Linked DNA regions of Saccharomyces cerevisiae S288C. The protein of the gene in region 2 interacts with the protein of the main gene of each other region in a biochemical or structural test. Each region holds a gene or a part of one and is shown on either strand. Other genes may lie near its edges. The genes, in order: UFO1, SKP1, GRR1 and CBF2.

What was found.
Region 1: the proteins of SKP1 (region 2) and UFO1 form a complex in vitro, tested with the Saccharomyces cerevisiae proteins (2 studies listed by BioGRID).
Region 3: the proteins of SKP1 (region 2) and GRR1 form a complex in vitro, tested with the Saccharomyces cerevisiae proteins (4 studies listed by BioGRID).
Region 4: the proteins of SKP1 (region 2) and CBF2 form a complex in vitro, tested with the Saccharomyces cerevisiae proteins (2 studies listed by BioGRID).

Annotation. Positions count from the first base shown.
Region 1 is NC_001145.3:90,614-98,654, forward strand, and holds UFO1 (SCF ubiquitin ligase complex subunit UFO1), read left to right. Parts: upstream 1-1,621; coding exon 1,622-3,628; downstream 3,629-8,041. Other genes in the region: RPM2 (ribonuclease P), read right to left, coding at 1-118; AIM33 (cytochrome-b5 reductase), read right to left, coding at 3,818-4,756; ALO1 (D-arabinono-1,4-lactone oxidase), read right to left, coding at 5,178-6,758; alpha-tubulin TUB1, read right to left, coding at 7,328-8,041. UniProt on the Saccharomyces cerevisiae protein: Substrate recognition component of a SCF (SKP1-CUL1-F-box protein) E3 ubiquitin-protein ligase complex which mediates the ubiquitination and subsequent proteasomal degradation of target proteins. Probably recognizes and binds to phosphorylated target proteins.
Region 2 is NC_001136.10:1,121,021-1,127,566, reverse strand, and holds SKP1 (SCF ubiquitin ligase subunit SKP1), read left to right. Parts: upstream 1-1,548; coding exon 1,549-2,133; downstream 2,134-6,546. Other genes in the region: PEX3 (Pex3p), read left to right, coding at 1-1,297; YSP2 (Ysp2p), read left to right, coding at 2,642-6,546.
Region 3 is NC_001142.9:589,512-598,888, reverse strand, and holds GRR1 (SCF ubiquitin ligase complex subunit GRR1), read left to right. Parts: upstream 1-4,561; coding exon 4,562-8,017; downstream 8,018-9,377. Other genes in the region: BUD4 (Bud4p), read right to left, coding at 1-154; JSN1 (Jsn1p), read left to right, coding at 553-3,828; BIR1 (survivin), read right to left, coding at 8,307-9,377. UniProt on the Saccharomyces cerevisiae protein: Substrate recognition component of a SCF (SKP1-CUL1-F-box protein) E3 ubiquitin-protein ligase complex which mediates the ubiquitination and subsequent proteasomal degradation of target proteins.
Region 4 is NC_001139.9:765,755-774,712, reverse strand, and holds CBF2 (Cbf2p), read right to left. Parts: upstream 7,285-8,958; coding exon 4,414-7,284; downstream 1-4,413. Other genes in the region: BTN2 (Btn2p), read right to left, coding at 1,027-2,259; VPS62 (Vps62p), read right to left, coding at 2,741-4,144.

The DNA.
Region 1 (8,041 bases), on a different chromosome or scaffold from region 2:
CCAAACCTTGGTTTTGCCTTAGATACTGGTAGGAGCTATCGAAAAAAGATGTTGCAGTTTTCTTTTGAGCGGCGGAACGATGATAACCTTTAGAGTATATGAATGATTTGAAAGCCATTTTCGTTTGTGTATGCTTGTTTTTTCTTTTCTGTTTGTTGTAGTCTCTATAAATTTAAATGCACTTATCTTTTTATGCAAAAAAAGCTGGGCGAGTTATTTGTTTCTATATTTGTATAATTTTTTTTTTTGTGAAGATGAATATAAACTGACAAAAAATTGTGTCAGAGTTGAAGCTATAGCTCCTTTTATGATGTGTCTTGGTTCTTTGGGTGCGATATTAGGGAAACAACGCACAGCAAATTTTCTTCTGCTTTCTTATAACGTTATAAACAATCCTGTTGTCTTGGTTTATTATGTGGAAAACTTTTCACGGATCAATTTTATAAAGCATACAACTAAAGAGAAAAGTGTAATATGGACGAACGAGAGACAACTTAATCCATGGATTTGTAATTGACGTGTGTATGATTCGAGGGAAACTGACAGTTTTTGCTTTGTCATGGGGGAATTGTAAGGCACACCGAGTCTCGGCCCCGAGTGCCTGGCCAATGAGAACGCGCGCATTCGGAGCTGCCCCACTTTTTGTGCGCTCTTGCATTTCATTGGTTAGCCGGAGGAATTCGGCGGTTAAAAGCGGACTCGAGCGGAAATAAAGTCTTTGCTTATTGTATGCCAGGAAAAGCTCTACAAATCTACTAAAAGAGTCAAATATACAGCTTTGCCAAGCGTGCGGCATAGGGAATAACAACAAATTGGAAATGTGCGGCTAGCGTAATCTTGGTATCTACTACCGACTCTGAAGAGTTTAGCGGGCTCTCAGACGGTTTTTTCGCTTTTGGCATTTTATTCAGGTAGCCTTAGATGTTAAATTTTCCATGGCATCTTGCGTAAAGCCTGCTAGGTTCCTTGCCACGTATAATTGCGCCGCGAATTCTGTGATAAATATATTGTAAGATTTTCTGTTGTCTTGGAATTGCTCTCTCTTTAAATAATACTTTATATGTTTACCCCAATTCTTTGCCGCCGAAAGGTCAGCGTTGCATTACGTGGTGTCCGGTCGCTATTTCCTGGGTTTTCTGCGGCAGATTCGCACTGCGCGCCACAGCTGCAACAACTGCAGTGTTATTTCGGGTGCCAATTTAGCGTGCTTCGATCTAACTATTCTGTAAATTCTGTAGTGACTCTTTAGGGCGAAGTACGTATTTCATGATTTAAAATCCCCGTCTTCAAATATACCGAAAAAAGAAACAAGACATTTTTTAGCAGTTTATGTACGCATTTTAAAAGCCGGGAAATGCTTCTTGTTACCCCTTTTGGCGCTTTGGATAAGTAGTTCACTTAGCTATTTTTTTTTCCGGTTCGAACTCGGGGTGAGGCTTTATCATGCACTTTTTTTTGGCTATTATTAATTTTCGCAGCCTTAATTTTTCCCTTTCCATTTTCTCGCATGTGGCGGTTTTCAGTATTACTTAGAGATGCCTTAAATAAATCTAACAGGCAGGTATACCAGGTACGAGTTAAAAACCTTTATCAGGTGGCCGACACTAGGGAATAAGACAGCATGGAGCGGCCTGGCTTGGTATTGCAGGACCTTCCACCCGAAATCCTGATAAACATCTTTTCTCACTTAGACGAAAAGGACTTGTTCACGTTGCAAGAACTTTCTACGCATTTCCGGAACTTAATTCACGATGAAGAACTTTGGAAGAACCTGTTTAAGTCTAGAGTTCACACGACTCATTTCCCCACATTTTCTCAGTCTTCGAAATTTAGTGTAGAGTATATTGAAAGGACACGGGGTCTTCATCATTGGCAGCATAACAAGGCTATAAGAACCAAATACACAATAATTCCGACGAGAAACTGGGATCAGCCCAGTATAGAACGCATAGTGTTTGATTATCCACGAGTTGCAGCTTATAATGATGGTACCATTACAATTTTACAGTTACAAAATCACAAAAGGCAGAAGAAATTTAAGAAATTGATTTATATTCCATGTACAACACCACAAGGTTGTTCTACCATGGACTTCAATATTAATGCTGCAGTGTTTGGTAGGTTTGACGGCAGAGTGTTTGGAAAACTGCTAAGTAACAAATCGTACTTAACGCCCGTGATGGAATTTACGGGAAGGCATAGTGCAGGCGTTACTGCCATTTGTAATTCAGAATCCTGGGACACGTCAAGAGAGGACTGGTCTGTTAGTGGCTCTGAAAACGGTGAAATTATATGGTGGTGCGAAAATAAGCTTGTTAAGATGTGGAAGGTTTCTAATAGGGTAATTTGGAAACTGGCTTTTTTTAAAGATTGGACCTTAATTATGGATGATGAAAAGCTGTACATTATCCATCAAATGCAGGAATTGCACAGTATTGATATTCCTAAGGATCTGGACGAACAGCCTATGAGGGTACGGTTTTTCAAGATGGATTTCGGTTCCATGACTTTGGTACTTGCTGACCTGAATAACGTTTATACAATATCGGTCAATCCCAATGGTAACTTCGGCAATTTGAGAAAGTTGGAGATGCCTGAACAAATATGCGCAGTTGAAATAGATGAAAAAACTTCTCAAAGGGAACAAAACTGGCAATTTGCTGGTGATGACGGCTGCTATATCAGTCTTTTGACGACACAGAACACTTTATACATTATCAATATAAGAGATCTTTCTTCGTCAGGCTTAAAAGTTCAATGTAAGATAAGTTTTGATGAGCAGGTATACGTATCGCAGGTGACAAATTTAATAGTTGTGGTAGCATTGCCAAATGTTCTTCAAATATTGAACGCGATGACAGGCGAGTTAATAAAGACAGTGTTGAAAACCGAGAAGTTTCCCGAATTTTTGAAGGTATCGCAGGATAAAATCATTATGGGAAGCGGTAACGTTTTGAATTATTTAAAGTTTGTTTCAAGTGATTCAAAGAAACATCACCATTCCACTAAAGGTAAAAACACAGTAAGCAATAAGTGGAATGAAACTTTGAACACGGAGCTGCAATATTATGATGAAGATGAAGACCTTAGAAGAAAAAGACAGTCAGAAATATCAAGATTGATCGATGCGTATGGTGGAGACCTTGAACTTTCAGGCGACACCGATGAAGAAAACGACATTCAGTTGAGAATTGCACTCTTAGAATCACAGGAGGCGCAAGCACGGAATCAAGCTGAAGCGGGGGAGCCTGTCGGAGATGATGAAGATGAGCAGTTAAGAAGGGCGCTGGAGGAATCTCAACTGATATATGAGACGCAAACGAATAGCTCTGCGAATCATGGTAATAATACGAATGATGAGATAGATGAAGATGATGAAGAGTTTCTCAGAGCCATCAGACAATCAAGAGTGGAGGACGAAAGGAGAAGACATCTTAGAAATCATACTACAGGTCGACGAAATGGGCCCTTGAGCGACGATAATTTTGCTACATATGGTGCAGCAGAGTCATCCGAACGAACCTCAACTGAGAACACTATCGGTAGTTCTGTTGGCGTTGATGCTAGTAATAATGTTGATGAAGACTTACAATTGGCCATTGCGTTGTCATTGAGTGAAATCAATTGAAAGTATGTACATTTGGAAGAGCATATGTTAAATATTTTATTTATAGATTTTTCGTTGTGAAATATTATTTTTTTTTTTTTGAAAAAAATGTCGGACTTTATTCCTCCTAATTATTAATAAAATACGAATATATATCTAAATATAATTAATGCTTATTTACATGAAAAATCATCAATCGTAAACAGTTGATTAAAAAACAAAAACTTTATCGGTTCCATTACCTTTGTGAAACCCATTACTCCACCCCAACTCCTTTGCATAATTCAAAACCATTTCATTCATTTTAGGTGGTCCGCAAATCAATAAACGATGGTCCTCCGCTTGTTTAGGTAGGTATCTTTTCATTTCCTCTAGAGTTACGTACCCAACATCACCGTTCCATTTACCGTTTGGCTTATGAATTACATAATGAACTTTAAAATGCGGGTACTCCTTAGCCATGTGGTCTAGTTGCGATTTCATGAGAATGTCATCCTCTGTTTCGTTTGCGTATATCAAAGAAATGTGTGTTAGGTCTTCTGGAGAGGGTATGATTTCTTGCAGCACTTGCAATACAGGGGTTATACCAGACCCCCCTGCGATTATACCCAACTCTGTTGCGGTGTCCTGATCATATTCCAGCTCACCTAACGGCCCTTTAAATTCAACATACTGGCGAATTTTTAATTTATCAAAATACTTAGAAACGACACCATGTTTATACGTCTTGACTACTAATTCCAAGTGACCCTCCGTATTAGGAACATTTACTGGCGTATAGTACCTCACTAATCGCTCACCATTTATTGTAACCCTTACTGCCAGGTGGTATCCCATGGGAATATGCAATCTTTCAAATGGGTACTTTAACTTGAAGCAGTACAGACTAGTATTACGAGAAATGCGGGTCTTCTTGGATAGCGGTAGCGCGACCCATTTATTTCTGTAAAGAGATTTATCAGTTCCAATCGAAATAAACGCTGTGGCATAAAGTACTACGAATTGCAGCAATGAAACGACCACGATTCTACCATTTTGCGTTTTCCAAAAGTAAAGAGGTGTAACCACACAATTCAGAAGCAATCCAGTACAAAATGGATAAAACGGATTTGTCGAAACAAAAGATATGCATGTCTCTACTATCGACATTGTTGCGAATGGTTGCTTTTTACAAAGAAAAAATGTGATATGAGTTAATACTAAACATACTTAAATCCTAGAGAGAAAAAAAGTACTGCAATATATACAGCACTCAAAATACATTTCTATCTGATTTCTAAAAACTTCCCTGTAGATGGATCTACGTTACGCCATGCCGATGTTTCGTTTTTGCTTATACGACCAATCATTACCGCGTTCGGCTTTTCCAAAAAAAAAAAACTATAGTAAGGATAATGAAAAGAAAAAAGGGTCCCATGATTACTAAAAAGCTCTAATTCAAAAAAAAAGTCTTTGATAGGCAGCTAGGAATAGTTATTAGAATGTACATGAACAGTCATCACACTGCTATATATATATATATATATATTCTTTTTTAGTAAAATATAGAGATTATTGAGACAAAAAGAGACTAGTCGGACAACTCACTAGGATCTATAATACCATTTATGATAGCCCACTGTTTGTTTGCCAAGAATACATTATCGGGATCTTGCTCCTTTCTTATTTTCCGGAACTTTTTCAAATCCTCGCCATACCATTCTTCAACCTTCAATGCCATCCCCCTCATTTCAAAGTCATCGTAATCAGTATCCTTTTTCACTGGTCCAGCAGCTAGAGTGGTTGAGCCTAGGAAGTTCTTGGCCCAATGTGGCTTACCTCCCGCTACCATCATAGTATTTTCAAAAAGGGTAAACCATTTATGAATTGGAGTATTACAGCCAAACGGCCTATAAATGGTAGCATTTATGTACAACGTCAACTGACTGTTGGTAACATTTTCCAACGGAGCAAATCTGCAATGGGATGGTGTGTTATCCAGGAATGGGCGGCACACATTGCCATAAACGGGACCGGGACTGGTGTTTGTTCTCTTGCTAGTATCCAAGGGTTCAGAAGGTAATGTAGTATTTGAGCAACGGACTTCCATAGGCACGTGGACATAAAATTCTTTGTTTATGGCAGCCTGCGCAATAGAATGATCCAATGAACGTAAGACTTCCAAACCATTATCCATAGGGCACCCCCATTCATCAACAAATTGTGAAAACAAACAGTCCATATTAAATCCGCTGATAGAATCGGTAACATTAACATCACCAGTAGAGCTCTTCTCCAATTTCCCGTATTGCCTGTTGAAAACGAACTTTTCCACAAATGGGGTTAATGGCGCATAGATTTTGGTAGAGATCCATAATAGAGTTTCGTAGAAAAATCTACCCAGCTTGGTACCCCACCATGACTTGGCTGGACCATTTTGGGCATCTGTAGTTTTGTTACCCCTCCATAGAACACATTTTCTAGTATAAGGGTACCACCAAACTCTGATAAATTCAGATGAAGTCCATAGGGTATCCCATTGCTTCAAAAGGTTTTCAAAAGTAATCACTTCTTGAGTGGATTTAATATTGAAGCCGGGAACAACCCTGATAGTAGCAGAGACAATGATACCAATTTTTCCAACTGAAAGTAAAGCAGCTTTAAAGACTTCTGGATCGTTTTCAGCATCCAAGAACTTCAATTCGCCCTTACCATTAACAATAGTCAAGTTTACGTATTGAGAAGAAATCAAACCGTGATAAGGTGAGGAACCATGACTACCAGTAGAGATTATGCCAGCAACACTTTGTTCTGAGATAGAGCCTAAATTTTGGATAGAGTAACCTTTCGCACCCAAAAATTCATTCAATTGGTAAAGCCTCATACCGGCATCAACTGTGACATCGGCATAATGTAACTCAGGATATTCAACAAACTTTTGTACTTTGTCCAATCTGTCTAAGTTAACAAGCCATTCATCAGTAACGCACATGTTACTAGGAGAATGGCCCGAACCAACAGTAACTAAGCTTTTTTCAGCTAGCCTGGCACTCTTTACTAACTCGACAACCTCATCAATTGAACTTGGTTGGAAGTAACGTTCTGGTTTTGCAGAATAAATTCCGGCCCAGTTTTTGAACACATAGTTCTTTCTAAATGGGATAGTAGACATGGGGTGAAAAACCTGATAATATCGGTAACTTTAATTTTACGGGTTCTTGTTTTACCTTCTAATGAATTTTAAGTTTTGAAAAGCAGAAAATCAGATATTGAAACTATAGATCTGCTTACCTTGAAGTTCACTATTTTTGGAATTCTCCTTGCTAATAGTTACTTCTACTCTTGCTTTGTCCTGGATATCAATGGAAGATGTCCTCATTTCCATTTTTTTTTTCAATTCGACGGCAAGGCGGGAGAAAAGGAACTAGGGATACAAAAATGCAATTACTAATGAAATCCGTGAAATAATCATGGAAATGGGTGATGTAAGAATCTGATGAAACAAGTACAAATGTCTTTGGCCCATCAACTACGATGAGACTTACTAAGCTTTCATCAAATGCAGGTTAGAGAAGGAGAATGGTTTTTTTTTTTATTTTTTGTACATAGATATTAGAGAAATATAATAAGTAGATTATAGATAAGATATCACCAAAGAGATATAACAGTAGGGGGAATTTTTTTTTTTACAATATACTTGAAATATAGAAAGGATAAGGAGGTTGGGGGCGAGAGTGAACCTTAAAATTCCTCTTCCTCAGCGTATGAGTCGGCACCCACTTCGATGTAATCTCTTTCTAAAGCAGCCAAATCTTCTCTAGCTTCGGTGAATTCACCTTCTTCCATACCTTCACCGACATACCAGTGGACGAAAGCACGTTTGGCATACATTAAATCGAATTTTCTATCGATTCTCTTCCAAGCCTCAGCAATGGATGTGGTATTTGACAACATACAGACGGCCCTATCCACAGTGGCCAATTGTGAGTTTGGTGTGGCAGTTGGAGGTTCGTAGCAAATACCGATCTTGAAACCAGTTGGACACCAATCAACCAATTGGACGGTCTTCTTGTTTTTCACCTGCTCGACAGCTCTTTGAACATCTCTTGTTACCACATCACCCCTGTATAACAGACAAGTAGCCATGTATTTACCATCTCTTGGATCACACTTGACCATCTGGTTACCAGGTTCAAAACAAGCGTTTGTAATTTCTGACACAGAGTTGGACTCATGGAATGCCTTTGATTTGGATAAGACTGGAGAATATGAAACTAAGGGGAAATGAATTCTTGGATATGGAACCAAATTGGTTTGAAATTCGTTCAAATCTACATTTAATGAACCGTCGAATCTCAATGATGCTGTAACAGATGATACCACTTGAGCAATTAGGTTGTTTAAGTTTGCAAAGCTTGGTCTTGGGATATCCAAGTTTCTTTTGCACATGTCGTA
Region 2 (6,546 bases):
TCTGCAGAGACATCGAGGAAAGGTACTCATTTCATTGACTGGAATAGCTGCTTTATTTACCACAGGGTCGGTGGTAGTGTTTTTCGTGAAGAGATGGTTGTATAAACAGCAGTTACGGATTACTGAGCAACACTTCATCAAAGAACAGATCAAAAGAAGGTTCGAGCAGACACAGGAAGACTCGTTGTACACAATATACGAGCTACTTCCTGTATGGAGAATGGTTTTGAATGAAAACGATTTGAATTTGGACAGCATCGTTACCCAATTAAAGGACCAAAAGAACCAGTTGACTAGAGCAAAGTCTAGTGAAAGCAGAGAAAGTTCGCCGTTAAAAAGTAAAGCTGAGTTGTGGAACGAGTTAGAACTAAAGAGTTTGATCAAGCTGGTGACAGTGACGTACACAGTATCGTCGCTGATTCTTTTAACAAGACTGCAACTAAATATCCTGACAAGAAACGAGTACCTGGACTCCGCAATAAAATTAACCATGCAGCAGGAAAACTGCAACAAACTACAGAATAGGTTCTATAACTGGGTTACATCGTGGTGGAGCGATCCGGAGGACAAAGCGGATGATGCAATGGTAATGGCAGCAAAAAAGTCAAAGAAAGAAGGCCAGGAAGTGTATATTAATGAGCAAGCTTTCCTATCACTATCATGGTGGATTCTTAACAAGGGGTGGTTGAGTTACAATGAAATAATTACAAATCAAATCGAAATTGAATTTGACGGCATACACCCAAGAGATACTCTAACGTTAGAAGAATTTAGTTCTCGTCTCACGAACATATTCCGGAACACGAATTCCCAAATATTCCAGCAAAATAATAATAACCTCACGTCTATTTTGCTTCCTAAAGATTCCAGTGGACAGGAGTTTCTTCTGTCACAGACGCTTGACGCGGATGCTTTAACAAGTTTTCACTCTAACACACTAGTTTTTAATCAATTGGTGAATGAACTGACCCAATGTATCGAAAGCACAGCAACATCCATAGTGTTAGAGTCTCTAATAAATGAATCATTCCATTTCATAATGAACAAGGTCGGCATAAAGACAATAGCCAAGAAAAAACCTGGCCAAGAAGATCAGCAACAGTATCAAATGGCAGTTTTCGCTATGTCGATGAAAGACTGTTGCCAAGAAATGCTTCAAACAACTGCCGGGTCTTCCCATAGCGGCAGCGTGAACGAATACCTGGCCACTCTGGATTCTGTGCAGCCGCTCGATGATCTGAGCGCCAGCGTATACAGCAACTTTGGCGTCTCCAGCTCGTTTTCCTTCAAGCCTTAATCTCTGAATAAGTACTGACACTCACACCAGAATATATATATATATAGCGTAATCTTTAATACAGTAAGTGTGCAATAGGTAACATGACATTACCCTGCAGCGATTTAACGGGCGTCTTGGAGAAAAGAAGAGAAAGGGAAGAAATAGGTTGATATATTGAGGGCAGAGAAAGTGATAGCCCAACGTTGGCAAAGATATAACAGAAAAGACGTTATAAACAATACAGGAATACTAACAAACGTAGCGCAGATATGGTGACTTCTAATGTTGTCCTAGTGAGTGGTGAGGGTGAACGATTCACCGTAGACAAGAAAATCGCGGAGAGATCCCTGCTATTGAAAAACTATCTGAACGATATGCATGACAGCAACCTACAAAACAACTCAGATTCAGAATCAGATTCAGACTCGGAAACGAACCACAAAAGCAAAGACAACAATAACGGTGACGACGACGATGAGGATGACGACGAGATTGTGATGCCCGTGCCCAATGTTCGGTCTTCCGTTTTGCAGAAGGTTATCGAATGGGCCGAGCACCACAGAGACTCTAACTTCCCTGACGAAGATGACGACGATTCCAGAAAGAGTGCTCCCGTGGACTCATGGGACAGAGAATTCCTGAAAGTGGACCAAGAGATGCTATACGAAATTATTCTGGCGGCAAACTACCTCAACATCAAGCCCTTGCTTGACGCTGGCTGCAAGGTGGTTGCTGAAATGATCAGGGGAAGGTCTCCCGAGGAAATTAGAAGAACGTTTAATATCGTCAACGACTTCACTCCAGAGGAGGAGGCTGCCATTAGGCGTGAAAATGAATGGGCTGAAGACCGTTAGCCTACATTTCCTCTGATGACTGTGATCCTTTCTTCCGATGATAATGCGCCATTTCAGAGCAAGATAGGCAAAAATAAGCAAACAAGGCTTGCTGTCATGCAATGTGTACGTTAGTCCACCATAACCAAGCATGTATGAATTATATATGTATACAGTTTACATAAACTTCAAACTACAATAAGATGTGTGGTCCATCGTCGTGTGTAGCGATAGGCGTCTTCTAAAAGCCGCAAAAGTGACAAGAAGAAAAAAGGAAAATTATTGAGTTATAAAAGCTATTGTTTACATGATGAGACGGGATAAATTTAGGACAGATAGCTGTAAACACTCCGTTTTGAATCATATTTGTGAAATATTTGGTCTAAATTTTAAGTCAAGTTTATTTTCTTCGAGCATTTCAACACCAGCTTAACCCTTTGCTTTAAATTATTCATCTAAAATAGGGTATATTGATTGCTAATCACATATAAATATATAGAAGCAGCAGCTGTACAGATATCCCTAACCAATGAGGGATGAAGCTACTCGCAAAAAAAGGTCATTTAGTGATGGTCATTTTTTCAAGAAACTGAAATTGATGTCAAGGAAAAAGCAACCTGTTATGGAAAGAAGTAAGACCACTCGTACAAGGAAGGAATCTACCAATTCCGCAGCAAAATCATCCCTATCATTAAGAAGGGCCAACAATGGCAGAAAGACCATCGCTAAGAGAAGAGTACTGACCGACATAGGCTCTACTAATGAAGGTGTTGCCGGTAACTCTGGTTCAAACTCTCCTGCTCAATATTCTCATACTCCTCATTTTAGTGATTCTATCCCACCACTGCCTTTAGAGCTACCAGATATCGTCTCAATAAGGAGTAGTAGAAGTCATATTAGTAATAAGAGTAATAAGAACAAACATGGTATAGACTTGACTTTCATACCTCGAAGATCGCTACAAAATTCTAAGGCTGGCTTGAAGAAACCGAATACTTCTCCACAAGGTTATTTTAATATTCCAGTGACTATAGATAGAGCAAGTGAGAAAGTCAAACATACTGATACTAAAAATACATTCAATTCTTCGTCTTCTGAGAATGAACGACCAGTTTTGAGCATCTTACAGAAGGATGACTCTCAAAGTTCTTCGCACCCAGCTATCGATTCAATGTCAGCACCCAATAATATTAACAACAATAACGACATTGAGAATTCTTCAAACAGTCTATTTGATACTATTCTATCAATTGCTCATAGTGCCATATCTCATGTCCCTAAAATTTCAGCCTTAAATACTGAGATACAACGTGAATTTTCGCATTCAGGTGAAAGTCATACAGGTTCAACTCGCCATCCTTATTTCCATATCCACCACGCGCAGCAGCAACATCCCTTGTCACAGCAACAAGGGCCCTTACCTGTTTCCGAAAATGCTAACCAAAATCCCAATGACACAGTGCTCATTCATTCCCCCTCCGCTAACACAGCCCACCGCAGTTCATCATTTTTGCGTCATTTAGATTATTTACTATCCCCCACTTCTGGTCCAGCCTCTGATAAACATACTCAAGTAGAGGAAGGGGATGACGAGGAAGAGTTATCGCCTCTTTCCAAAGCATTTCTTTCACCATCAACTCAACTGGTACCTACAAATACATCGACTACGCCCCTTTCAGGTTCTTTGACACCTAACAATAGAAACGTAAATGCAAACTCTAACTCTGAAACCGAGAACGACAATGATAGGGATGATAGATCAAATGTTGGCAAAGTGAAATTTCAGCCCTTGAAAGTACACGAGCCTGCAATCTCAACCTTTGGTAAAGGCAACTTAACTTTAGAGGCAGTGGCAGGATCCTCTGATATTGATAATACAACTATTGATCTGGACGAGAATAATACCAATAATAATCCAAATGCAAGTTCAACAAACTTGAGTCATATTAGCAAAAGTAACGTAAACAATAATCTCGGTCCAAAAGAATTAAACACAAGTTATCGTAATAGTACCTATATCGACATGGCAAGGTTTGAAAATTCACAATCGAACCTTTCTAGCCATAGGGCAAGAAGTAAGACACTGCCCGCGAACAAAGCATTAGAGAATGCCGTTGGTGATGAAGGTAATAGTAAAAGAAATTCAAGATATTCTTCTTATTCAAACGATATGGCCTTTGATGATGCCGACGAAAGAAAATTCAGAAGTATGTCCAAAAAATTCTTAAACAGGAGATCTTTTTCACCTTCGAACTTAGGCAATAAAGTGATCCCTGGAATTAATTTAAGAAATTCATTCAACAAAAATAGGAATAGTAGTTCTGATTTCTTTAGTACAAATCAGGGACAGCAAATGCCAAGAACAAGTACTGCGGGCTCAGGTAATATCCATGCAATAATGGGTTTGGATTCTGGCAATGATGATTTCAAGTTAGAAGGTATTGAATATGCTTCAGAAAAGAAAAACAGCGAATTTCATACCCTTTTCAAGGACTGCGATATTAATCCTAACGAAAAGTTAATTGTCGATCATAGTTGTGCACTATCTCGTGATATTCTTTTACAAGGAAGGATGTATATATCTGATGCACACATTGGATTTTTCTCAAACATTTTGGGATGGGTCAGTACAGTTTTCATTCCGTTTAAGGAAATCGTTCAGATTGAGAAAAAGACTACCGCCGGAATTTTCCCCAATGGTATTGTAATTGATACGTTGCATACAAAGTACATCTTCGCCTCTTTTATGTCAAGGGATGCTACCTTTGATTTAATTACAGATGTATGGAATCAGATCATCTTAGGTAAAAAATATAGGAATGGCTTCGGTAATAATGACGACGGTACGATAAGCGATTCGAGCAGTGCATTTTTTGATGATTCCGATGACAATGACGACGATGGAGACCTGGATGACGATGACCCTGATATTAATAGCACAGATATGACATCTAGTGACGATATTGATGCTGATGTTTTCAATGAATCAAATGATCTTGGTAAAAACCAAAAATCTACGAACTACTTATTGGGTCCCAATAAACACTCTCCAACCACTGCTGATTTCAAACCTTCCAATAATGATCATTTGGTTATTGAAGCAAATATTAATGCACCATTAGGAAAAGTAGTAAATCTTTTATACGGTGAAGACGTCTCTTACTATGAAAGGATCCTTAAAGCTCAGAAAAATTTTGAAATATCGCCAATCCCTAACAATTTCCTCACAAAGAAAATTCGTGACTATGCATATACGAAACCGTTATCAGGCAGCATTGGTCCAAGTAAAACAAAATGTTTGATCACAGATACTTTAGAGCATTATGATTTGGAAGACTATGTTAAAGTGCTCAGTATTACCAAGAACCCGGATGTTCCTTCAGGGAATATCTTTTCAGTGAAAACTGTTTTCCTTTTCTCTTGGGATAAAAACAACTCCACCAAATTAACAGTTTACAATTCTGTTGATTGGACTGGTAAAAGTTGGATCAAAAGTATGATTGAAAAGGGAACATTTGATGGTGTTGCGGACACCACAAAGATAATGATATCTGAAATTAAGAAAATCTTAAGTGATGAAGACTCAAACATAAACTCAAAGCATCAAGCCAGCAATAATGAATCAGAAGAAGAAATTATTAATCTGCCAACTATTGGACCTCCAGTTCATGATCCGACGGAACCTGATTTTCAAAAAGGAAAAGACGATACAGTTATCGATGAAAAAATTAATATACCAGTTCCTTTAGGAACAGTGTTTTCACTATTGTATGGTGATGACACATCATATATTAAGAAAATCATCGAAAACCAGAATAACTTTAATGTTTGTGATATTCCAAAGTTTGTGAATAACGCAAGAGAGATCACCTATACCAAAAAATTGAACAATTCATTCGGTCCGAAGCAAACTAAATGTATAGTCACAGAGACCATCGAGCATATGGATTTGAACAGTTTTTTTATGGTAAAACAAATAGTCAGATCTCCGGATGTTCCTTACGGTAGTTCATTTTCAGTACATACGAGATTTTTCTATTCCTGGGGTGATCACAACACAACGAACATGAAAGTTGTCACCAATGTTGTCTGGACAGGTAAATCAATGCTGAAAGGAACCATTGAGAAAGGTTCAATTGATGGACAAAGAAGTTCAACAAAGCAACTCGTAGATGATCTCAAAAAAATAATTTCTAATGCTAGTTCAACGAAGAAAAAATCGAGGAGAAGAGGAAAGACGGTAAATAAAAGGAAATCATCACCATCCACTATCAAGAATGAGAAGAATGAAGAAAACTTCGAAGATACAAGTACCAAAAATTCATTTTTTTCCGCTTTCTCAATGTTACAACAAGTAAACATAACATCCGTTCAAGGAATTATGACAATTATCTCTTTTTTTATTTGCTTGATTTTCTTCTTTAGATTATTATT
Region 3 (9,377 bases), on a different chromosome or scaffold from region 2:
TTTCCATGGTATCATCGCCTATTTCCTGCAGCGGAAGCTTCCAGTTGTGTGGTGTATCTTCGGAACCATTTTGCGTGATATTAGACTTTGTTTGTTCCATTTCATTGTCTATCTCCTTCAGTAGAGAATCTACGGTACTCTCTGCGTCGTGCATGCTTCTGTACTTTTGTTTTTATATAATTTAATGAACTAAAAAATTCTTCTTGCACAGACTGAATCAAAGAAATATACACCAAACCAACGAAGTTTAGTGAATGGAGATGTTCCCTTCTAAGTGTTTCCTTTGCATAAATAAACATTATTGTTTTCTCGAGGAATATTTCATTGTTGTTTACCTTTTTCCAAATCGGGTCATCTATTCGTTCCTCGCGACAATGTCTCTTTTTCATTTGGACAAATTACCCGCCGACAATTATTGGGACAAAGGGGGGCGTTTCTCGTAGGATGACCAATGGCGCATAGAGATGAATAGTTAAAACAATAAGAGGCACTTCGAGAGATTTGTGTGTATGTGTGAGAAAGAGCGTGAACGTCTATTTATTCCTTCTTAAGATGGATAAAAGTAAGCAGATGAACATCAACAACTTGTCCAACATCCCCGAGGTGATTGACCCTGGCATCACTATCCCAATATACGAGGAAGAATACGAGAACAATGGAGAGAGTAATAGCCAACTGCAGCAACAACCCCAAAAGCTTGGATCATATAGGTCGCGAGCAGGAAAATTTTCTAATACATTGAGTAACCTTTTGCCCTCCATCAGTGCCAAGTTACACCATTCGAAGAAAAATAGTCACGGAAAGAACGGTGCTGAGTTTTCCTCTAGCAACAACAGTTCCCAATCTACGGTGGCGTCCAAGACACCAAGGGCCAGCCCTTCCAGGAGTAAGATGATGGAAAGTTCTATAGACGGTGTAACTATGGATAGACCTGGCAGTTTAACCCCTCCTCAAGACATGGAAAAATTGGTGCATTTTCCTGACTCGAGTAATAACTTCTTAATTCCTGCCCCCCGAGGATCTAGCGACTCGTTTAACTTGCCACATCAGATCTCGAGGACGAGAAACAACACAATGTCTTCTCAGATAACTTCCATTTCATCAATCGCCCCCAAGCCTCGTACTTCGAGCGGAATATGGTCTTCAAATGCTAGTGCGAACGATCCCATGCAACAGCACCTTTTGCAACAATTGCAACCTACGACAAGCAATAATACAACTAATTCAAACACGCTCAACGATTATTCGACAAAAACTGCATATTTTGACAACATGGTATCTACTAGTGGAAGCCAAATGGCAGATAATAAGATGAATACGAATAACTTGGCTATCCCAAACTCTGTTTGGTCAAATACCAGACAGAGATCTCAATCCAACGCGTCTAGCATATATACCGACGCTCCACTGTACGAACAGCCCGCTCGTGCCAGTATTTCATCGCACTATACTATTCCAACACAGGAATCTCCATTGATTGCTGATGAAATAGATCCGCAATCCATCAATTGGGTAACAATGGACCCCACTGTACCATCAATAAACCAAATATCGAACCTTTTACCCACAAATACCATTTCTATTTCCAACGTTTTTCCCCTACAGCACCAGCAGCCACAATTAAATAACGCGATAAACTTAACAAGTACTTCCTTGGCAACCCTATGCTCCAAATATGGTGAAGTCATATCTGCTAGGACTTTAAGGAATTTAAACATGGCTTTAGTTGAATTTTCTTCCGTGGAAAGTGCCGTAAAAGCCTTAGATAGTTTACAGGGCAAGGAGGTATCTATGATTGGAGCACCAAGTAAAATTTCATTTGCCAAAATCTTACCTATGCATCAACAACCCCCACAATTTCTTCTCAATTCTCAAGGCTTGCCATTGGGTTTAGAAAACAACAATTTGCAACCACAGCCTTTATTACAGGAGCAGTTATTCAATGGAGCTGTGACTTTCCAACAACAAGGAAATGTTTCTATACCTGTATTTAACCAGCAATCACAACAATCGCAGCACCAAAACCATAGTTCGGGTTCTGCTGGTTTTAGCAATGTTCTCCATGGTTATAATAATAACAATAGTATGCACGGAAACAACAATAACTCAGCAAATGAAAAAGAACAATGTCCTTTCCCTCTACCACCACCTAACGTTAACGAAAAGGAAGATTTGTTAAGAGAGATCATCGAACTTTTTGAAGCAAATTCCGATGAATACCAAATCAATTCGTTGATAAAAAAATCGCTGAATCACAAAGGCACTTCCGATACGCAAAACTTTGGACCTTTACCAGAACCATTGTCTGGCAGGGAGTTCGATCCACCAAAATTACGCGAATTGCGAAAATCAATCGATTCAAACGCATTTTCCGACTTAGAGATCGAACAGTTGGCTATTGCAATGCTTGACGAATTGCCCGAATTGAGTTCAGATTACTTGGGTAACACTATCGTTCAAAAATTATTTGAACATTCATCTGATATTATTAAAGACATCATGCTGAGGAAAACAAGCAAATACCTAACCTCTATGGGTGTTCACAAAAACGGAACATGGGCTTGTCAGAAGATGATCACTATGGCGCATACTCCGAGACAAATCATGCAAGTGACGCAAGGGGTCAAGGACTACTGTACTCCATTAATCAATGACCAATTCGGAAATTATGTCATACAGTGCGTTTTGAAATTTGGATTCCCCTGGAACCAGTTTATTTTTGAAAGTATAATAGCTAATTTTTGGGTTATTGTTCAGAATAGATATGGTGCAAGGGCAGTCAGAGCTTGTTTAGAGGCACATGACATTGTAACTCCTGAACAATCAATAGTTTTGAGTGCAATGATCGTTACATATGCTGAATATCTAAGCACTAATAGCAATGGTGCGTTGTTAGTAACGTGGTTTTTAGATACTAGTGTTTTACCCAACAGACATTCTATCTTGGCACCAAGATTGACGAAAAGAATTGTAGAGTTATGTGGCCACAGATTGGCTTCTTTGACTATTTTGAAGGTCTTGAATTACAGAGGGGATGATAACGCTAGAAAAATCATCCTAGATTCCCTATTTGGAAACGTGAACGCACACGATTCTTCGCCACCAAAGGAATTAACAAAGCTTTTATGTGAAACAAATTATGGCCCAACCTTTGTCCATAAAGTTTTAGCAATGCCATTATTAGAAGATGACTTAAGAGCCCACATCATTAAACAAGTCAGAAAAGTATTGACGGATTCTACTCAAATCCAACCAAGCCGCCGTTTATTGGAAGAAGTCGGGTTGGCATCACCCTCTAGTACTCATAACAAGACAAAACAACAACAGCAGCAGCATCATAACAGCAGCATTTCGCACATGTTCGCCACTCCTGATACTTCTGGACAACACATGAGAGGTCTTTCTGTTTCTAGCGTTAAAAGTGGTGGATCTAAACATACCACAATGAACACCACGACTACAAATGGTTCTTCTGCCTCTACATTATCCCCGGGCCAACCATTGAATGCCAATTCTAATTCTTCAATGGGCTATTTTAGTTATCCTGGCGTCTTCCCTGTCAGCGGCTTTTCAGGCAACGCCAGTAATGGATATGCTATGAACAACGATGACTTAAGTTCCCAGTTTGATATGCTAAACTTTAATAACGGAACCCGTTTATCGTTGCCACAACTGAGCCTAACTAACCATAACAACACTACTATGGAATTAGTAAACAATGTTGGCTCCTCACAACCTCATACGAACAACAACAACAATAATAACAACACGAACTATAACGACGATAACACCGTTTTTGAAACTCTGACTTTACACTCTGCAAACTGACGTCCCCATGTTTTCTTTTATTTCCGTCATCATTGGGAGACCACGCCGTTTTCTTCTCATACCTGCATCCATTCAAAACTATCTCATTTACCCCCAACGGTTTTATGGTTCAAATCCTAATAGAATATGAGCGAGCTAATGAAGAATTTGGGCATTTTCATTACTGGGAAGACGTGTCTTTTTCAAGCCATCATATCGCCAAATTTTTTTTCTACACCTAATCATGATTAAATAAATCCATAAAGTTTTATACAGTTTTTAAAAATATCATCATTTATTACCCAGATGTGTTAATGAACATTTATAGTCATCATTACTAGGCTTTCATTACTACTGAGGTTACCCGCCTATGGACCTTCCTTGGTAAAGGAACTTGTTTTAAAATTTGCCTTTTAACAAATTTAGTGATATGATTATCAAAAAAGGCGTGGCAAAATACATAACACCAAATTTAACTGTGCCTGTGTGTTACTTTCTTTTGTCCATACTTCACCAGTTTTTCGATTTTACACAATAATTCGTTTTCATTTAATCGTTCTCTTAGAAGCCCGGTTTTTGAATATCAAAATCGTACTTGTGTCCAACTAGCAGGGAAGCCCAAAAATTAAGGCATTGCATTTAAGCTTACACCTGCGTGAAATCTTGAAATTTCTCATTGATTTCGGCACAATAATTATCATTGGTAGTGAGGCTAAACAGTTTTGCGGTTTCCTTTATACTAAGAAGGTCTATAATGGATCAGGATAACAACAACCACAATGACAGCAATAGGCTGCACCCACCTGATATACATCCAAATTTGGGCCCTCAATTGTGGCTGAATAGTAGCGGTGATTTTGACGACAACAACAACAACAACAACAACAACAACAATAATAATAGCACAAGACCACAAATGCCATCACGAACTAGAGAAACGGCAACTTCGGAAAGAAATGCAAGTGAGGTTAGGGATGCAACGCTAAATAATATCTTTAGGTTCGATAGTATTCAACGGGAAACGCTTTTGCCAACCAACAACGGACAACCGCTAAATCAAAACTTTTCGCTGACATTTCAACCACAACAGCAAACAAATGCGCTGAACGGGATTGACATAAACACTGTGAACACAAACCTTATGAATGGTGTCAATGTTCAAATAGATCAACTTAATCGATTGTTACCGAACCTACCAGAGGAAGAACGGAAGCAAATCCACGAATTCAAGCTAATAGTGGGCAAAAAAATCCAAGAGTTTCTGGTTGTTATAGAGAAACGTAGAAAAAAAATACTGAACGAAATTGAGCTAGACAACCTTAAACTAAAGGAGCTACGTATTGATAACTCCCCACAAGCAATTAGTTATTTGCATAAATTACAAAGAATGAGGCTTAGGGCGCTAGAGACAGAAAACATGGAAATTAGAAATTTAAGGCTAAAAATATTAACAATTATAGAAGAGTACAAAAAGTCATTATATGCATACTGCCATTCCAAGCTAAGAGGTCAACAAGTGGAAAATCCAACAGATAATTTCATCATTTGGATAAACTCCATAGATACTACTGAATCATCTGACTTGAAAGAAGGGCTACAAGATCTTTCGAGATATTCAAGGCAGTTCATAAATAATGTGCTTTCGAATCCATCAAATCAAAACATATGTACGAGTGTCACCCGAAGATCACCTGTGTTTGCCCTAAACATGCTACCCTCGGAAATATTACACTTAATATTAGATAAACTTAACCAAAAATATGATATTGTAAAATTCCTTACCGTTTCCAAACTCTGGGCTGAAATAATTGTGAAGATACTTTATTACAGACCGCACATCAACAAAAAGAGTCAATTAGACTTGTTTTTAAGGACTATGAAGTTAACTTCTGAAGAAACTGTATTCAACTATCGTTTAATGATCAAAAGATTAAATTTTTCATTTGTTGGTGACTACATGCACGATACAGAGCTTAACTATTTTGTCGGATGTAAGAATTTGGAGCGACTAACTTTAGTATTTTGCAAGCATATAACCAGTGTTCCAATATCGGCTGTTTTGAGAGGATGTAAATTTCTCCAAAGTGTGGATATCACTGGAATAAGAGACGTTTCCGATGACGTATTTGATACCTTAGCGACATATTGTCCCAGAGTACAGGGCTTTTATGTTCCTCAGGCAAGGAATGTAACATTCGATTCACTGCGGAATTTCATAGTCCATTCCCCGATGTTGAAAAGAATAAAAATCACAGCAAACAATAACATGAATGACGAATTAGTAGAACTATTAGCCAACAAATGCCCTTTGCTTGTAGAGGTCGATATAACATTAAGTCCAAATGTCACTGATTCTAGTTTGTTAAAACTCCTCACTAGGTTAGTTCAGCTGAGGGAATTCAGAATAACTCATAATACGAATATTACGGATAATCTTTTCCAGGAGCTTTCTAAAGTAGTTGACGATATGCCCTCTTTAAGATTGATTGATCTTTCTGGATGTGAAAATATTACAGATAAAACTATAGAAAGTATAGTCAATTTAGCCCCTAAATTACGTAATGTTTTTCTAGGCAAGTGTAGCCGAATTACAGATGCATCGTTGTTCCAATTATCGAAGCTGGGCAAAAACTTGCAAACAGTGCATTTTGGGCACTGTTTCAATATAACTGATAACGGGGTAAGAGCACTCTTTCATTCATGTACAAGAATACAGTATGTGGACTTTGCGTGCTGTACGAATTTAACCAATAGAACTCTTTATGAACTAGCAGACTTACCAAAATTAAAGAGAATTGGCCTTGTCAAATGTACGCAAATGACTGACGAGGGTTTGTTGAATATGGTTTCCTTGCGAGGCCGAAATGATACTTTAGAAAGGGTACATTTATCTTACTGTTCTAATTTAACAATATATCCGATATATGAGCTTCTAATGTCTTGCCCAAGGCTCTCACATTTGTCTTTGACTGCTGTTCCGTCATTTTTACGCCCCGATATAACGATGTATTGCAGGCCTGCACCCTCAGACTTTAGTGAAAATCAACGTCAAATATTCTGCGTATTTTCAGGGAAAGGTGTTCATAAACTTCGCCATTATTTAGTAAATTTAACGTCGCCCGCTTTTGGACCACATGTCGATGTAAATGATGTTTTGACAAAATATATTAGATCCAAGAATTTGATATTTAACGGTGAAACACTTGAAGATGCTCTTAGGAGAATCATAACTGATTTAAATCAAGATTCCGCTGCAATTATAGCTGCTACAGGATTAAATCAAATCAACGGTCTAAATAACGATTTTCTTTTCCAGAATATCAATTTTGAACGAATAGATGAAGTATTCAGTTGGTATCTCAATACTTTTGATGGCATTAGGATGAGCTCGGAGGAAGTTAACTCACTATTATTGCAAGTAAACAAGACGTTTTGTGAAGATCCATTTAGTGATGTGGACGATGATCAAGATTATGTCGTAGCACCTGGTGTAAACCGGGAAATTAACAGTGAAATGTGTCATATTGTTAGAAAATTCCATGAGTTAAATGATCATATTGATGATTTCGAGGTGAATGTTGCTAGTTTGGTAAGAGTTCAGTTTCAGTTTACTGGTTTTTTACTTCATGAAATGACTCAAACCTATATGCAAATGATTGAATTAAACAGACAAATTTGTTTAGTACAAAAAACGGTTCAGGAATCGGGCAACATAGATTACCAAAAAGGGCTTTTAATATGGCGACTTTTATTCATTGACAAATTCATTATGGTGGTTCAGAAGTACAAGCTCTCCACCGTTGTTTTGAGACTATATTTAAAAGATAACATAACATTGTTAACCAGACAAAGAGAACTATTAATAGCCCACCAAAGATCAGCATGGAATAACAATAATGACAATGACGCCAACCGGAACGCCAACAACATAGTGAATATTGTATCGGATGCTGGGGCAAACGATACAAGTAACAATGAAACTAACAATGGTAATGATGACAATGAAACAGAAAATCCAAATTTCTGGCGTCAGTTTGGCAATAGAATGCAAATATCACCTGACCAGATGAGGAATCTCCAAATGGGACTTCGTAATCAGAACATGGTTAGGAACAATAACAACAACACAATTGACGAATCAATGCCTGACACTGCCATTGATTCTCAAATGGATGAAGCATCAGGAACGCCCGATGAAGATATGTTATAATTGTATTTCATTGAATACTTACTGTCCTACTACACCTTTATTTTCAAAATCCCACTTTTCTTACTTATTTACATATAAATACATAATGCATTCACTTTGAAACTTTTTGCCTTAGCATGTATACGCTATAGACTTGCGGTATCAACGAATATACGTAACGTTGTCACGTCCACAGAAGATGCTATGTCAACAGTTCCCTGCAGATATCTGCGATGCGGCGAAACATTCTATACACAGTTTCAAAACTACAAAAAATACAAACCTTTAGCCTGTTTATCAAATTAGTTAGCTATAAAATGCCCATTTTCTTAGCAATATCGATCAATTGATTGTCATCTTCCAAAGTTTCAATAAAATTTGTGGCAGTATAGTAATCCCTTCTCAATATGTCCAATTTCTTATCACAGTCATCTATAAATTCGCGCTTAATAGATTGCACTTTTAGGTTCACCCAATTGTTGAATGTCATGTCCAACTCTTCTGCAGGCATTTGCTTAATCAAAAAAGCCAGATCACCGTCTTTGTCATTAGCTAGCGTAGCATCATTATTATTTATATATTTTAACAAATCATGGAAGTAATTTTTTACAAGGTGTCTATTTTCATCAATTTTAAACCATTCTGCTGCATTCGGTTCTTTTTCGTTGTTGCCCTCATTAAATGAACTTCCTTTCTTAGAATTATCAGCCAAACTTGTGCTTGTTTCCTTTCTTTGTTCTTCTAAACGTGAATTCCGTGGATATGAAGAGGTTCCAGACACCAAATTCCTTGCAACTGATGGGACTGGCTCAAATTCGGGTTTAATAACCTTTTTTATTTCTACAGTTGATGAATCTATAGGTATATCCAATTCCTTCCCAGAAAACTCTTCATCAAATAATTTTCTTGACTTGTTTTCTTGAGATGCGATCGGGGTTCCAGTCTCAAAAAGTAACATTTCATTATTTGGGGTCTCATTCTTCACAGACACATCTTCCAGTATTTTTATAGTTTCCTGCTTATTAGTAAAATACTTACCATCGTCAGTTTCTTTTTTGAGGCCAGAAAGCTCTTTGACTGCATGCAAACTGCGTGTGAGATTAATTTTAGGGCTCGCTACCGGCGTTGAAATAACGCTTGAGCTTTTTGATGATTGCTCAGATTGTGATGATGGTGAAAAATCGGACGCCGAAAAATTTAGATCTATATTGATGTTATCTAATTTTCTTTCTGTTGGAACAACTTTTCCACTTATTGATAGGCTTCTTGGTTCTTGCAAGTTTTTCCTTGGTTTAGGATGAATATCAGCGGGAATGCTGGATGTTTTGCTATTGCCTCTCCTTTGTTCCTCTTTGGGTATTGCGGTAATATTACTGGAATT
Region 4 (8,958 bases), on a different chromosome or scaffold from region 2:
AAGGCCTATGTGAAAGAAAACTATATGCTGTTATGCTCGGGAATATATAGTAATCTGCGCAGAGATACATGTTCGGCACAGGCTCACCTGGGCCTACTAATTACGCATCGATGTTGACCAATTTTCCGCTTTGGGCACGCATTCATTTGTTTTCCTTTTTAAAACAACTCAGATCGTATTTGTCTCAGCACCCACACCTTGCACCAGGGTCCGTTTACCCATTTGAGGAATATGTTTCTAAAAAAAAAGAGCCGTAATATTCCAGTATACCTCATTAAAAGTAAAAAAATTTGGACGAGTCCGGAATCGAACCGGAGACCTCTCCCATGCTAAGGGAGCGCGCTACCGACTACGCCACACGCCCAATTAATTGATGAAAGGGGAGAATAGAGAAGAATAATGAAGTAAATCTAATGAAATATCAAAAAGCCATTCTCAACGTAACATTTACTCAATTATCTTCAGGGCAGGAAGGGGAGAAGAAAAAAAAAGCTCTTTTACTTGATTACTGTTTCCGTTAATTTGAACTTAATTTTTCTAAAGATGGAATTGAGATATTGGTGAATTTTGAGATAATTGTTGGGATTCCATTGTTAATAACAGTAGTAATATTAGGTATATAGAATATACTAGAAGTTCTCCTCGAGGGTATAGGAATCCTCAAAATAGAATCGATAAACGATAGTTGAATTCTATTCAAGCAGAAATGAATTTCAATCATTCGATAAAGTAGCTTGTATTTTGTGAATCACTTGCCATTCCACCATAAAATACTAGCATAAATGTTAACATGGAAAACCGGATTTCTAGGAAGCAAATAATTGTACTAAAATCACGGATACTAATAATTTCTACTTTACTGTTGCCCTTTTATTTTGTTATATTGTAACAAAATAAATCCGCCTTCTGCCGTGCCGATTTATATTCCTTTCATAAAGTCAGTGAATTATAGTAGTATATAAGATGCATATAATTAGTTATTTAATGCCGTAAAAATGAAAGATGGGGAGTATGTATTATCACCCATTATATCTCCTCAATAATAGAGTTTCCCTTGGGAGATCTGCTTAGGGACTCGTTGTATCTGTCAACTTCCTCATCCTCAACGTCTTCTAATAGGGGTGAAGCGTGTTTTTTTAGTGTATTACCAGACACAGAGAAATCCAAAGTCGTATCAGAATCACTGTTTATACTTTCATTATCACTTTCTGCTGAACCAGAATTGCTATTATTATTTTTATTGCTGGCCTCAATCTCAGAGATAGGCAATGATTTGGAATTTTGCAATTTTTTTTGCTGGGACCTCTTGGTTTTTTGCTTATTTATCAAAGATTCTTTCCTTGCCTTCAATCTGGCTTCCTTCTCTTTCTTTTGCCTTTCTTCATCTTCCTTGGCAGCTTTTTCCTGTTCTGATTTTCTGCTTTCCTCCTGCATCAATCTTTCTTCCTCTATCCATTTTTTTATTTGGTCTTCTTTGGTTAGTGGTTCTTTCGCTTTCTCCGCTTCTTCCTCCTTCAAAGATTCAGACATGTTAACATCATCGTGAGACTCGTCTATTTTGGATTCAATTATTGGCATCTTTGGTTCGTTGATGCCACCTTCGGAAATTTCTTCCTCATGCTTAACTAAACCAATCTTTAAAAGTGCATATTTTTCTCTCGAGCCATCATCTATGTTTTCAACTCCACAGCCAATAACAAAAACATCTTCAAACACTTGGTCTAGAGAGAATTCCTTAAAGATTTTATCCTTCTTACTCAATATGCTCAATTCATCACCTCTATGATTCAATTCTATTTCGTAGTCTTGGAAAAGATCCTTAGCAATTTTCTTTCCTATGGCTCTAAAATCCAGATCTTTCAATGCAGATCTCAATAGAGCATCTTCATCCGCTTCATCTTCAACATAATACTGGTTTCCAAAAAAATCTTGGACAACATGGTAAGTTGGTCTGTAATGGTTCTCCTTTAGCTCACCTAATTTCTCATTAACGTACTTTGAAAAAAGTTCATATGGAATCCGCTTAGACAAGCTTAATGTATAACCATTTGGTGTTTCAGCAAGTGCATACCTCAAAGGTTCTGAACAATTTGCATCGCTTTTTTTTGGAGCTCTTAGGTTAGCTTTTATTGCTTTCCTCCTTTTACATTCTGGATAATAGCTCACTGGAGAACTGCAATCAAAATAACGCGAATGTAGGGGCTGACTAAAAGATGGCAGCTGTTCAAAAACACATGGTGAATTGAATATGGAAAACATTTCTATATTGTAATGGGGTCTATTAGTTATTTTCTTTTGGTTGTTGTTATGATTGTAATACTGATATTTCTTTCAAGAAGAAGAAAATATATATAGAGCAATGAGAATACCTGTCAATGAGAAAAGATTGTTCTAATGCTTTTATATATGTAATGCAATAGATCTTCCATTTGTTTTGCCACTTTACTTCGCCAAGAACTGAAGGCTTCTATGAAATTCTTAATTCTTCCATCCTGGGCGGCTGTTAGCCCAACCCGACCTGGTTCGGAATATCGCCGAACAAGAAAACTGGATACAACTCTCGAGCTCCACCGAGTGTCGCAATTTTCCGGAACTTTCTAGAAAAAAAAGTGTCAGTAACTTTACAACCACAGACGGTGCGAAAGAAAAAAAGAAAAATACGGCTGAAATAGTGCTACATGACGATGCACAGTACATACACTACAGCATGCTAAAATAGCGAAAAACGCCCAAATATTCATTACCCTGTAAAGTAGTCCATAATGAAACATACGCTTCCCCTCCACGTCAAAAAACGGAGTATGCTACGCAGCCACTTTGGCCTTATGTTGTACAGCAAGATACCACAATTGTCACCCACAAGATCATTCTTTTCTGCATCCAAACCTTCCCCTCTTTTTATATATCTTCTTGCCGGGCAGCCCTTCCAAAAATTCCACCATTTAAATCTTTGGCATAAAGAAACCCTTTCCATATTTTTGAATAGTGGACCTTTTGGTCCGTCAATATATTTCCATTGAAATGGGCACCATTTTTGTCTGGGATCCCTAGGTCTTAATTGTTTATCGCCCCAAGCGCCTTTGAACGATAGCCATTCTAGTCCCATTTTAGTTTCTTCAGCGCCGCATGGTGTCATTTTTTCCCCCACAGTCACTGTATAGGCATAATAGTTTAAAGAAGGATCCCATAATGGCCCTCTATCAGTAAAGTCACTCAATGGCATAAAGAAAAACGGAACATCGTGCGCATGTTGACCGACTGATGCATAATGTGCATGTGTGCCTCTTGCACTAAATATTAAAGGCTTCTTAATAACCTCGTTTGTCAATTTACCGTCAACACGACGCAATCTTTTGATTTTCTCAATGGCTTCGAACTTATAGGCACTACCACCCCCATGCGCACTCATCCATAGATATTGTGGTTCTCCTTTATAGAATCGTACTAAAGAATGTTCCCAGTCCCCTACATGATTTCCCCATGGTCCGGAGCCCATAATATAAGGACCCCAATTGAAGGGGTAGAAATAAAACCAGAACGCGTCTACCCAACCATTTCCTTTGTCAACGACAAAAAGAACTGCTGGTGCTTTCTTTATGTGACCTGTACCATATTCTGGTTGTTCACCCAACAACCAGTCAGGGCCCTTATCAAAATCATCTAAACTTGTCATATATGTACCTTCACTGGATACTCGGCCCCACGTTCCGTTCTCTAACTCTACCGAATAATACTCTTGTAAGTCACTTAAGTCACGAAGGTGTTCATTGATAATTTTCTCCCCACTGTGGTCTCTCAACTGGAATCTTTTTACAAAATCCTTAACATCAGCTGGCCAGTACTTTTCTTCACTATATAAATGGAGCAGAGGGCTATTATCGATGACATATTGCGGTACATTGCCCCTTTGTTTTAAGCTTTTGTTATCCTCGGTAACTTCAGATGGATGTAACGGAGGTGTGCTTGAAAGGATGTCCTTACTCCATGGTTCATCCCCCATTTCTAGAAGCGTTGCTTCAAATGGGTCATCATCCAGCCAAGGCACGAGTACCGCACGGCAGGGTATTATCGAATAAATAATAAATGTAACGAGGAAATATAGCCTCGTTCTTTGCCGCTTATGACTATTTTTTGAGATTCGCATGAAGCTATAAGTTTATTCTTAGTTGCGGTAATAAAGAAGCCTTCTTCCTCTTCTATCTTACCAGGTCTACCAACTCAGTCTTCCTATATTCGTATAGATTTCAAAGTTCAAGGCATCTGAAGTGATGGAACCCCTATAGGTGTTACCCGATTTTCTCACCACAGCAACCGTTGATATTCCGGCAGCCTTTTTCTCATAGTAAACATCATTATATTATAAACATACATGTCGGTATCCCTATACGAAACAGTTTAAACTTCGAAGCTCCCTCAGTTAGATAGATATACTAACAGACCATCAAATGAATTTTGATGGTCATGCCTCCACTTCCTTAGGAACTTTGCCAAGCGCGAAAATGAACCTTCGTTCTGATCTCGTAATTTTTCGCAAATATCAACTGCTTTGTATCTGTCGAGACTCTCATGATTTACCAAATAAATATAGAATTCAACAATTGATTTTCTTTCCTTGTATAAAGCTTCACAATTAGCTCTCCACGACTTGTTACCTGATTTGTTCATTGAATGCACGCATTGGTTGGCGTACTTAGCGTTTGGGGTGAACCATTCAAGAATGATTCCCTCTATGCTGTCTATGGATTTGTCCAGCATAAATTCTTGTTCGTCAGTATAGCTCTTTGCTTCTTGATCTTGCTCAGGAGACGGCGATGCAGTAGTTGACATGGCTTGATGATCATCATTATCTTTCACAGTCTCTGCGTACTTACCACTGGTCCTAAGTTTTTTAGGAACTTCCATATCAAATCCAACATTGTGTTCTTCCGTCATGTATAGTTGTGGCCTCTTCAACGTTGAAAACTTCCCCGTGTGTGAACCAAGTTTTTGCTCGATAATACGAGTGACTTTTTCTTCAAGAATTTTATCTAATAAAGCGTTTATTTTCAATTCAAATTGATCCATTTGGTCCCGTAAAAAAGTGCTTATTTTGGAGTTTATAAGTTCGTTTATCATAGATTTTAACTGCTCTTGCATCTCAGAGTCATTCTCATCTTCATTTTCTCCATATGCGCCATCTTCGATGGATTCACCGTCCTTTTTGAATACATTTGAATCCTCCGTGGAGGATTCGTCGGAGGAATCCGCAATTGAGAGTAATCTAATTTGCTTCGGCCTCTTTGTCCGCCTTGATGTGTTAGGCCCATCTTCATTCACAATGTTTTCTTCTTTTTTAATGGGCTGATTATCACGTATAAATTTATCGGCATCGTCAATCTTAGATTTCTTAATTCTTTCATCCAAGGTAATTTTGAATAAATTAAGCTGATGTAAAATATAGCCTCTTGAAGATTTTTTCATCTCCAATTTCTCAAAAATTTTATTGAATACCGATAATAAAATTTGGAAATTAGAAAGTGTTTGGAACTGCACATATTCGAAACTCTGTTGCTTCAATAATTCATTTAATTGTGTAGTATCAAGTTGACTCATTTGTAATGGCCCCTCAGATTCTTGTTTTTGAGTGGGGTGTGTATCTGGATTATGACTCGAAGCAAATGTCAACTGCGAAGGCCTTTCTATTAAGAGTGAGTAAAAATTTGTCTTATTCTTATAGATTTTATTAAAGCCTGGTAGTATATCGAATGATAAAATGGGTGAACCCTTTGAATGTATAGTTTTGTCATTGAAGTATGATTGAAAATCGGAATTTCCAAAAATGGGGTCCTGGAATATATCATGATTAGGAAAGAATTTGTAAATCCATGGTAGATTGCTCAAAAATCTTTCTCGTAAAACTTCCATTAAATCTAGAAAATCCCTTGAATTCTGAGACAAACCTTCATAATCATGTCTTTTATATTCATCAATCTCCGGAAATATTTGAACTAATAAATCCTTTGGAGGCGGAAAAGGGTCCTTTTTAGCGTTTGTAGAATACGAAGTGTAGGGCGATTTGAAGTTCATGATTTTCTTGAAGTCGAACGGTATTTTGTCAGGGAACGCAAAGGCCTCAGGTTGTTCTAACCAATTTCCATGGTTTTCTTCATTGAAAAATGTTCTAAAAGTGTCTTCATCCCAAGTTGGGTAAACAAGGTTACATTTGTTGAAATATTCTCTTCTTTTATAAGGTAAGTGGCAATACCTAAACACGGTTGTATAATAATTACTAAATGTTTCCTCTCTGGGATAAGTTGTCAGTGATTTGCCTCTTAGTATGGGAATATCTTGTAAAAGTGAGCCATTTTCATCAGCGTTCAAATTGGGAAAGCCATCCCCTTTCGAAACAGATGGTATACCATAGAACCTTAAATACAAATATGCAGCTAATGTAGTTTGAGGGCAGATAAATGGACAATCTTGGGGTAATAATGCAAGGAGTTGATGGTGGCCCGGCGTATCTTTTTTTTCCGCCGAATGAGTTACTTTATGATAAATTATAGCGTCTCTGTCCCTTTTACCGAGCTTGAGGGAACCAAATCGTATCTTTGATCTTTCTTCAAATGAAAGGTTCAAATAACTTCTTAATTGAAAATCCACCAGGAATCTTAATTTTTCAGAACAGGTTTTAAAAAATTTCTCAGAGAGATGGTTAGTTTCTGGGTTCCATAAATTCAAAGACACTTTCAATAATGGTGGACACAGCACTTGAGTATTTGTGTTATTTGTTTCATTAGTGGTGATTGCCTTTTGTGAATCTATCCAATGGGTATGAAGCTTGGTGACTGACTCCAGGTATTTTGTGTCTATATTAGCATTTGGATTTTCATGAACTTTGCACAATTTTGACAAAAAATTGAGACTGCCTATAATTTTCTTCAACGTAGCGATCTTGAATGAATTCTCCTCCTCCTCATCAAGATCTTCAGTCTCTTCTCTTTTCTCTCCAGGCTTATCATCGGTTATTAATGTATCTAACAAAAACCAATGTATCAGTTCAGCAGATATTGGCAGGTCTTTATAGGGGACGCTATTTACAGAATTGTCCTCCGGTGTCGGTATAATTTGATTGAGCTGACACCATTGTATGTACTTAGTATAGTAGGTCTTGTACTGATGCGCAGTTCTTGGCTTTAGGGAGTCCACCAGTTCCTGAAACCTATCTTCTGATGACATAGCTTCTTGCTGTTGCTGAACATCCATAATTTTCATCAATTTTAGTAGAAACAAAATCGATGATCTCATATGTTTTCTACTTTTTCTTGTTTGTTTGTATGCGGTAAAAAAATAAAAGCGAGAGAAAACGCGAAAGGTTCCTGGTATCAAAGTGGGGTAACGGATACCTGGATGTTGAGATACATAACCAAACAAGAAGAATACACTATCCGATTATAGCCCATAACAAATGGCAGTATGCGCACCACTGTTAGCGCATTATTTTGAGATTGTGCTTAACAAACGCAATTACACTGTTGTTTAGCATAAGATATAATAATAACTTTTCACGTTTATCTTGAATGTAATCACTCAAACTCCTTTGTATAAAAGTCCACAGGCATCAATCTACCTATTTGAAGACTCAGCAGCAGAGAGAAAGTTATATAGAGCAAGACAAAGTACACACAAAGAAAGCAGAGAACACAAATATTTGTGGGGAAGAAGCAAGGTGAGTGGCCGCAGTCATTTTCGGATGAATTTGAGGTTCATGTTTTGATGTTTATTTCTATAAGAAAAGTAAGGAGAAGCACCATTGAAGTATAAATATATCAGCACTGAATGCGCCATTACGGCAAAAAGGAAGGGGAATGCAAAAAAATAAAAAATCTGCCTCAGGTTTTAACACTTAAAGGCACGAAAATAAAAATAGAATGCGGCTGCTTACATACCACTAGCTGAGCAAGACAGCTGCCGTTCAATGTTTGTACTTCGCACCATGAGAGTTGTGGATATGTACTTTATGGACGAAGCTGAAACGGCTAACACTATTATTACGCGAACTTTTTCAACACTTTTACTTCGCCACAAGTGCCGAAGATCGAATCTTACCCAAAATCCGGTTATTTTGTACCTATGCAAAAACCCTTCCCCTGATCTATTTGCCATTTAGCCGCCCAAAGTACCGCAGAAGCTGTTACAAACACATCACGGGCCACCGGAAAAAGTATTTTTTTGCTGCTTACCTGAATATATTTGCGCTTAAAAAAATTTTCCGGCGCTTCCGAGTGAAATATACTGCTTAACTGTGTCCGGAGAAACCTCGTGCGGAAAACAGCGCAAACCGCAAAAACCCCGCAATGGGCGCGCTTACTCAAATTCCCTCGGGTGGTCTCACGGGCTGGCCGCAGCGCAGTCGCCTGCCGCACTAAACCTTAAAAATGCGAGAGCGCATGCACGGCGGACGTCGTGGAAGCCTGACGCGTGCGCCCTTCTCCTCCCGAGGGACATAATGTCTTGGTGCCTTACTAGAACCGATTTCTCGAGATGATTCCATAGCCGTTAAATTCATCTCAAAAGAATAGAGAACACAGCAGCGCAGAACGAAAACAAACTGTCGCGTCGCATTTTACTGAACGAGTCATTCGCATATTCTGCTTAGGTGTCTGAGTCTTTTAAACGCATTCTAGGTTTTTCGAAAAAGCCACCGAAGAACACTGCCATCCGCATGCACTGTAATGCCACTGTTTATTTTTTTTTCTTGCTATATATATACATTGCGCATACACCCTTTTGAGGTTTCGTACTAGGATTTTTTTGTATTTGTTTATGTTCTTTTTTCCTGAAGACATCAAGAAGAAATAAGAAAACAAATATATCATTTTATTGTTTGTGTTTATAGAGAACAATATACAACTTCCTTCTCCTACTATATCAAGTTTAATATTTAATTTTTTTTTTTTTTCGGTTTGAATTTTAATTTTA